Linked DNA regions of Daphnia pulex. The main gene of each other region encodes a partner of the protein of the gene in region 2 in a complex. Links are inferred from orthologs where the notes say so. Each region holds a gene or a part of one and is shown on either strand. Other genes may lie near its edges. The genes, in order: cleavage and polyadenylation specificity factor subunit 4-like and cleavage and polyadenylation specificity factor 73-like.

What was found.
Region 1: cleavage and polyadenylation specificity factor 73-like (region 2) and cleavage and polyadenylation specificity factor subunit 4-like share a complex: the UniProt entries of both Drosophila melanogaster proteins name them as parts of the cleavage and polyadenylation specificity factor (CPSF) complex. The link is inferred for Daphnia pulex from reciprocal best matches to the Drosophila melanogaster genes Cpsf73 and Clp.

The regions. Positions count from the first base shown.
Region 1 is NC_060027.1:2,524,887-2,529,242, forward strand, and holds cleavage and polyadenylation specificity factor subunit 4-like, read left to right. Parts: upstream 1-1,475; 5' UTR 1,476-2,126; coding exon 2,127-2,193; intron 2,194-2,272; coding exon 2,273-2,317; intron 2,318-2,386; coding exon 2,387-2,590; intron 2,591-2,652; coding exon 2,653-2,778; intron 2,779-2,838; coding exon 2,839-2,902; intron 2,903-2,968; coding exon 2,969-3,069; intron 3,070-3,141; coding exon 3,142-3,281; intron 3,282-3,355; coding exon 3,356-3,384; intron 3,385-3,425; exon of another isoform or gene 3,426-3,469; coding exon 3,470-3,527; 3' UTR 3,528-3,602; downstream 3,603-4,356. Other genes in the region: E3 ubiquitin-protein ligase SMURF1-like, read right to left, coding at 1-94, 162-395, 469-602, 673-820, 1,124-1,178; uncharacterized protein LOC124207999, read right to left, coding at 3,665-3,880, 3,957-4,356. UniProt on the Drosophila melanogaster protein: Component of the cleavage and polyadenylation specificity factor (CPSF) complex that plays a key role in pre-mRNA 3'-end formation, recognizing the AAUAAA signal sequence and interacting with poly(A) polymerase and other factors to bring about cleavage and poly(A) addition.
Region 2 is NC_060024.1:9,772,577-9,776,823, forward strand, and holds the start of cleavage and polyadenylation specificity factor 73-like, read left to right. Parts: upstream 1-1,414; 5' UTR 1,415-1,481; coding exon 1,482-1,549; intron 1,550-1,624; coding exon 1,625-1,688; intron 1,689-1,770; coding exon 1,771-1,868; intron 1,869-1,936; coding exon 1,937-2,060; intron 2,061-2,122; coding exon 2,123-2,395; intron 2,396-2,461; coding exon 2,462-2,612; intron 2,613-2,677; coding exon 2,678-2,766; intron 2,767-2,832; coding exon 2,833-2,919; intron 2,920-2,990; coding exon 2,991-3,120; intron 3,121-3,189; coding exon 3,190-3,518; intron 3,519-3,582; coding exon 3,583-3,691; intron 3,692-3,757; coding exon 3,758-3,954; intron 3,955-4,015; coding exon 4,016-4,141; intron 4,142-4,198; coding exon 4,199-4,247. UniProt on the Drosophila melanogaster protein: Component of the cleavage and polyadenylation specificity factor (CPSF) complex that plays a key role in pre-mRNA 3'-end formation, recognizing the AAUAAA signal sequence and interacting with poly(A) polymerase and other factors to bring about cleavage and poly(A) addition.

The DNA.
Region 1 (4,356 bases), on a different chromosome or scaffold from region 2:
CTACTCTCCACGATGGGCCTGGTCCATTGACTACTTCTCGATTCCGGATTCACGTAATACCTACGGCCACTGGATGTCCTCCTTTCCTCCCAACCTGCCCATTATGAAGACATTTGTCAATAAAATTTTCAAAGTCATCAAGTTGTTGTTGTTTAATTTACCCTGCGGAAGGGGAGAGGTGACTGAAGCCGTGGCAGCTTCTTGAATGCCTGCAGGTGACGCAGGGCTGGCAACATTTCCCAGAGCGTCCACAACGGTTTGGACGACGGGAGTTGCACTGTTCTCGTGACAGCTTGACGAATTGTGCTGTTCTCTAGACAGCAAGGAAATAACTATTTGTCCCTTCACTTGATCGGTGTCGTTGGCGTTCGCGCGCGTCAAGTCAAGACGTTGATCTGAAAAACAAACAAACAAAGAGACGAAGAATTTAGAGGTGGACATTCACAAGACAGAATTATTTGGCATTACATCCTGTGTCTTTCAGGCGTTGAATGGCATTGGACATGATTCGAACACAACCAAGGAATCCGCCACCTTCCTTCTTGTGAATCTTCTTGTGGTTCCAAACACTGATGGTTATCGCATCTGACTTGCCAATGTACCTGTGGGAAAAGAGAGAAAAAACAGTCAGGCGTTGAAGAGTTGAATTGTCTGGTGGTGATGATGACTTACAGGTCAAAGTGCTGGTTCCACTTTGGGTCCAACGAAGACTTGCAGGTGTCTGTGCTGTGACATTGGCCCGATCCCTCAACACTGACTTTGGCAAATGGGTCAGGCAAACGGAACAGATCCTTCTTTGCGAGATTCTTGGCGCACAGTACTGGTGGTTTGAGAGAGACAGAAAGAGATAAACATCAATAAGACACGGTCATACCATCAAGACTTGTTATTTCATTACTAATCCTCTCCCCTCCATCTCAACCCACCCCTGGGGGCAAGAGGAAGTTTACCCTTTCTACAAAGACAGGAAACAGGGTATCAGATAAAATAAAGCCTGGAATGAGAGAAAACCAGCCCAGGAATGTTGCTTCACCGAGGAGGAATCAATGAAAATTCCGTTTGTGGCACACGATTGAAAAATTGGCCCAACATCAAAACAAAAGAGAAAATAAAAAACACTTACTTGTGAGTCGAATCTTAATGGCCCCATTTCTCCTATTGATCCCTGTGTGGGACATTGCTGGCGAACAGGCAAACTCTCCTCCCAATCGTAACACAGAACTGAGATTACACTTCAGACATCGAGAATAATAAAAAGTCACGTGCGGCTTAAACCATGCATTTAAGTAAGTCTAAATATATAACAAGAACAGAAATCCTTTGTCAAAATCAATTTGTTTTGCAGTCCAAAACGGGACTCGGTACACTTTTTAGGCAGCCATGTCAGCGAGCAATGGAAAACTGGCCCTCTAGCGGAACCACCAGGCAGCTACTGTAAATAATAAGCAGAGGCGAAACGCAATAAAATCAAAACAAGCAAACTTCTGTCTCGTGATTCTCGACCTTGTTTGTTTGTTTTGACCAAACAACGAAATTCCTTCCTCACCCTCGAATTCTCTGAAATAATTCCAAGTCTAGCGATTTACTTGAGAAATGAGAAGAATTACAGATAAGCTTATCTTTGCGGTTTTTTCGTCTAGTGAGCGGAGCTCGGCGTTCTTTCTGTAGCACTAGCAGTATTGTTCTATTAAGATAATTTTTGAAAAGACAATTGCTGATATTTCAATTCATTTGAATAGTAAACCTTTACACAAAGACACGAGTCCGAATAAGTGCAATCTGTGCAATGATGTGTAGGCCTAGATGACCGCACACAAAATCAATTGCCATCCTCATTTCTTTGCGGTACTGTTTACTAAACTTTAAAAGCTAAAAATTCCCATTACATAAAAAGCTGAATTCCGATCTACAAAATTTCTAAATTTAGTTTTGTTATGAAACGTTCTAAAAGCGTAAAAGAATATAACTAAAGATGCCGTTTAGTCTCACCTGCGGTAGCCCGGCTACCCTTCCTCTAAATTTGTGTCAAAAGCAAAATAAGCAAAAGTTGGTGTACATGTTGCTTGGTGCATGGGTAAATTAAATCGTTTTCAGCAGGAATTTTACTATAACTATTAAAATTAAAAATGGGCACCATGGATACCGTAATGGCGCCTATTGCCAATATCAAATTTGATATTGAAGTTGCCTTGGGTAAGAGAGAATCAAGATCTGATATCATCACCATATTTCAATTTGAATGAAACTAATGAACCAATATTTGTATTTATAGAGCAACAGCTGGGAGCCCAAAATCTCCCATTTCCCGGAATGGACAGTAAGTGAATTAAATGCATGTGCACATGGTTTCGACTTCTAATAATGTTTGGGTCTTTTAATTCTTCAGAATCAACGGCAATGGTGTGCACTCTATTCACTAAAGGTCAATGCCAGAGAGCAAGTTTTTGCCCATACAGACACCTCAGAGCAGACCGGACAATTGTATGTAAACATTGGCTCAGAGGACTATGCAAGAAAGGAGATCAGTGTGAATTTCTCCATGAATTTGATATGGCTAAGATGCCAGAGTGTTATTTCTACGCCAGATTCAGTGAGTTCCATATCTAGAGTTGATTTGATAAAACAGTTTTAATGTTTTTTTCTTTCTCCCAGGTGCTTGTCACAACAAAGAATGCCCTTTCTTACACATTGACCCTGAAACAAAGATCAAAGATTGCCCTTGGTATGATCGTGGTTTCTGCCGTCACGGACCGACTTGCCGACACCGTCATGTTCGACGTAATAACATTTTTATCGTTTCGTGAAAGAATCATTTTAAATATTGCTTTAATGTTTCAGGTGTGCTCTGCATGAACTACACAGCAGGCTTCTGTCCCGACGGCCCCGAATGCAAATTCGTCCAGTAAGAACAAAATAACTCGTAATATTATTGTCAGTTGGTGAAAATAACTGTGAATTTCTTTCTTAGTCCGAGATTTGAATTACCTCCACTTCCAGATGATATCAAGGGTGACAAGAGAAAGATGCCTCTAGTCTGCCATTTCTGTGGAGAAGTGGGACATAAAGCTGGTAAGAATCCTAACCTTGAATTACATAATACAAGTTTTTCGTCCCAAATTGATTTCATTTTGTTTTTCGTAGCTCAATGTCCGAAAATTCCATCAGAATCTAAGGACATTTACCGCACGCCCGCCGATGCCTCTACTCATGCAAATAACGCTTCCCAAGCCCAGAGAGATCGAACGAATTTGAGACCTTTAGATGAAGTCACCTGTTATAGAGTAAAAGAATTTATTTGTTCACATTCGCGATTTTTGAAATTACCCTTATTCACTTATCTTTTTGTTGTTAATAGTGTGGACTGCGCGGCCACTATGCAAATCGGTAAGATGAATTTATATTAATGAATTAGTCGTTTTGGGGCATTTCAATGTAATATCACTCATGCTGTAATTTTTATTTCAAACAGGTGTAACAAAGGACATCTGGCTTTCTTGAGTAACCAGCCAACAGAAGAAAGAAGTTAACGAAAATTACATTCATTTCCAACACTGTCTCTGTCCATTCAATAAATACAATTTTGAAATCTCTCTAAAAAAAAAGGAGTCAGAACACTAGTATATAATTATTTTTAGTAGTAGAACGGTTTTTGTGTGAGGAATCTTTAGATGTAGGTAGGGGCATTTGTGAGTGAGGTGGAGCAGGCAGCACATTTCTCTGCTTCTGGTGCGTTCACCAAAGTGCAATTGGAGCATTCACGTCCTCCGCGGAACAGAGGCTGGCTCTCAGGGCCCTTGTGTCTCGACTTGGAACACATGTCGCAAATTTCTCGATCGTCGGGATTCAGAAAAGTGCAAAACAGGCACTCCCATCCATTGAACTGAAAATTACCAAGGTTAAAAGGCTTTTACTCACACGCCACTAGATTTCCAAATTGTATAAATGCCATTGACTACCTTTGCAGAATTTAAATGTTGTCTAGCGGCTCTACCATTAACTTGGGCGGCTGCGGACTCTTTTGGCCTAGCTCCAACCGGTGATGATCCAGACGTGAAATATTGAGGATTGTTTGTTATTTTTGAAGGTGCAGTCTTTTCCGGCATTCGATCATAGTTTCCACCAAACATTTCTTTAACAGAAGTAGGAACGTTTCTCTCTTCTTTCAACTTGTTTACTCGATTGTCTTTCGATCTTTCGACAGTAGTGCTGCTACTCGGACAGTTATCTACGTCATCGTAGCAAAGCTGCTCCAAGCGATCAATATCCAATAGACTGTCAAACTTTGGTATGCTCTTCATCTCACGAACGAATGAGTTGTTCCAGACGTCGAAAGTTTCTGGGATGCCTTGTCCTTCA
Region 2 (4,247 bases):
GATGACGTATGCGTGCTATACTGTATTATTCACTTTCAATGCTGTTGACAGTTTTGTTCACTTTTTCAAAGATTTGAAATTTCCTCGAAATTTCCAATCGATTTCGAACGTTCTTTTTGATAAAAACTTTTTTTTAACTTTTAATTTCCGGATGAGCGGATGATAGTGATCTCGTGTAGAAGGACAGGTGTGTTCACATCTATACGCCGCCATGACAACCGACTGACAGTCTTCTGGCACGAGGCATCTCCGGACGGACGGACGGCCGCGTTAAAGGCAGGTGAATTCGTAATAGTGGGAAACGGAACAGGTTCCTTCTTCTCCTTGTATATACGTCTATCCAATAGAGCAGCAAGTTTATTTATATACACGTTTATTCTGTCCGGAGGGATGTGCGCCAAGGTTCGATAAAGACGGCGATGACTCTCTCAAATCGGCCAGACAAATGTTATGCAATTAGAATCAGCCGAGAAATCCGCTCGCGGAGCCTGCGGTGCGATTGCTTGCTTGCACGCAACCGTGTGTCTGTGTGCAGGTGTGGGTGTGTGTGTGCGTTTGCACTAAGAAATTATGAAGACGCTTTGATATTTAATAGGAAAAAACTACCCACACTCGACACAGCTCCCACGTTCAATTGTTTTCCGTATCAGCGAATAATGTGCTGTCACGTAGGAAATGCGTTTCAATGTCTTGTTTTTTCGCTGGATATTTTTCGCCAAAATTTATTGTCAACTGCAGGGAGACAAACGTGAACTTTATAGCTTACACACACACATGTATATGTATACCTGGCCCACATATACCGTGCTCGATGCACTGGAGGTTCATAATCGTGATTCATGAAACAATCATGTTACATGCATCCTAGTAAAACTTCATGGAAACTCGGCCCAACCTATAGCTACACCGTGTGTGTGTACGAGCTTGACGAGTTACTGCAGAAAGACCAAATGGTGAAGTTGATATAATCAAAAGTTATAAAAGGAGAATCTTCTTGACATTTCACGAACGAACAGTTTGCCGGTCGCTTTTTGGGTCTACATTTTTACCTCATCTGGGATCGCTGCTTCTTTTAGACTCCGCCACTCTTGGCAGAGACTTGAAACCATCTCGTGTGTAGCTTTCGGTGCAGGTGCTTCATTCCCACGCATAATCATCGGTTATTTATGCCACCATTTCTCAAATCGAGTAGAGTTTCACGAATTTTAAAACCCGTGGACAAAAAAGTCGAGATTGAATAGTAAAAACGCCGTCAGTCCGTTAATATCTTAAATCATCGACCCCGAAAAAATATATCAAATTCTAAATGCCATAAAACTTCACGGCGTAGATTGCATAATTAATAAATGTATACTACGTAATATTTTTATGATTTTATCAAAGTAAAAAAGGCGAAAGCGGATGTGATGTGTCAACTCGCGGAGTGGACATAAAAGTTTACCTGGCAACAGCTTGTAGACCCAAGAAAAACAAAAGACAAAATGGCTAAACGTAAAAATGACGTACAGGTCCCGGCCGAAGAAAGTGATTTATTGGTTATTAGGCCATTGTAAATATAATGTCAATTGACTTTTAATTTGTATTTGGAAAATTCACGGGTGTTTTTTATTACATTACTTTTCAGGGGAGCCGGACAAGAAGTTGGTCGATCATGTATCATGCTCGAATTCAAGGGCAAGAAAATCATGGTAAACAAACGTGTTTTTGTTGTACAGAGTTGAATCGCCATTGAATGTGGGCATTTCATTGATTATGTTTTTCATTTTCTAGCTGGATTGTGGAATTCATCCAGGTTTATCGGGAATGGATGCACTGCCTTTCGTTGATTTGATTGAAGCAGATCAAATTGACTTGTTACTCATTTCACAGTGAGTTTTGGTTTTGTTTTCTTAAGTTTTATTGTCAATAGCTAATGTACAATTGTATTTTTCAATAGTTTCCATTTGGATCACTGTGGGGCACTTCCATGGTTTTTACAGAAAACAACATTCAAGGGACGGTGCTTCATGACACATGCCACAAAAGCAATTTACCGTTGGCTGCTCTCTGATTATATTAAAGTAAGAAAAAAAGGCATTTGAGTTTTAGTCGATGCAGTGCTCACAAGTAATATTTCCAACAGGTCAGCAACATTTCCACAGATCAAATGCTCTACACAGAGGCAGATCTGGAGGCATCCATGGAAAAGATTGAAGTTATCAACTTTCACGAAGAGAAGGATGTTGGTGGAGTTCGTTTCTGGGCTTACAACGCAGGCCATGTTCTGGGCGCCGCTATGTTCATGATTGAAATTGCCGGCGTGAAAGTGCTTTACACTGGGGACTTTTCCCGACAGGAAGACAGACATTTGATGGCCGCTGAGATTCCTACTGTTCGACCCGATATCCTAATCACCGTGAGTTAAGCTTGAAGTATTTCAAGGCGAAATATGTCCATGTGATAATCTGTTTTATTCTCGAAGGAATCCACTTACGGAACTCACATCCACGAGAAGCGCGAAGATCGAGAAAGCCGTTTCACAGGTCTGATCCACGAAATTGTCAATAGAGGTGGCAGATGTCTGATCCCGGTCTTTGCACTGGGTCGAGCACAAGAATTGCTTCTCATTCTAGGTATTAGGTATTAGAAGTAATTTTTTGCATAAGAAAACTTCCAATCAGTTTTAATTGGCTTTTAGATGAATATTGGAGCCTGCATCCCGAACTTCACGAGATTCCCATCTACTATGCCTCGTCGCTTGCACAAAAGTGTATGGCCGTGTACCAGGTACTAATCAAATTCAAAATCTCGCAGCGATCGCATCAAACTTTAATTGGTTCTCTATTCTTGCAGACTTATATCAATGCCATGAACGACAAAATTCGGCGGCAGATTGCCATCAATAATCCTTTCATCTTCAAGCACATCTCTAGTCTCAAGGTACAATAATATTTGAAATAACCTGTTATAAAATGGTCCTTTATTCAACGCAATGTATTGTCATTCCCCAGGGTATCGATCAGTTCGAAGACGTTGGCCCTTGTGTAATTATGGCCTCTCCCGGTATGATGCAGAGTGGTCTATCTCGCGAACTCTTCGAAGCTTGGTGCACAGATCCTAAAAACGGTTGCATCATCGCAGGTCAGTGGAAAGAAATGTTTTAATTTTTATATAATTAGTTGTTCACGTTTATTTTTGTTGTCGTAAAAGGGTACTGTGTTGAAGGAACATTGGCAAAACATGTTTTGTCAGAACCGGAAGATATTACCAGCATGGCTGGCCAGAAGCTACCAATGAAGCTTTCAGTTGACTACATTTCATTCTCCGCTCACACTGACTACCAACAGACCAGTGAATTTATTCGTTTGCTGAAGCCACCTCATGTCGTTTTGGTTCACGGCGAGGCCAACGAGATGAACCGACTCAAAGCGGCGCTCATCCGAGAGTATGAACATGATCCAGACACTCAAATCCGTATATACAATCCACGTAACACTGCGGCAGTAGAACTCCATTTCAAGGGCGAAAAAACGGCCAAAGTAATTTAAAAAATCGTAAAAGCGATTCACCCAATGAATTTTATTCTAACGCCTTGTTGTCTAGGTGATGGGATCTCTGGCGTTTGAAAAACCAGTCGAAGGCCAAATCATTTCTGGTGTCTTGGTCAAACGAAACTTCAAATACCAAATTGTGGCGCCGTCGGATATTTCGAGTACCAACAATTTTTATTCAAGTCTTAATTTCTATAACTTTAGTACCCAATTTTTTTGAATTGCAGAATACACAGACATGACTGTAAGCAGCGTAACTCAAAGGATGGGTATCCACTACAGCGGGAATCTGCAAACGTTACAAGCTGTCCTGTCTCACGTTTCGCCTGACGTCGAAGTTATCGAGAGCGACAAAGGACTAAAAACATTTCGCCTTTTCTCTGCCATTGATGTCATTGTTGATAAAACTCTGGTTACATTAGAAGTACGCATCTTAATGATTTGTGAAGACCACTTCTTTAATGTTTAATATTTGATTTGTTTAGTGGGCGGCTGATTCTGTGAACGACATGTTCGCTGACGCAGTGCTTTCAGCTATCTTAAAGTGCGAATCTCTTCAAGGTTCGAGGACGATTGTGCTACCCACGACTGTTGATCATGCCCGCTTCAAGGTACTAAATTTTATTTGTTTGAGAATAATATCGGTCTAAACGTGTGAATTTATATAGGAATGCTTGATAGAAATGCTTCAAGATATGTTTGGAGATGATGCGGTTC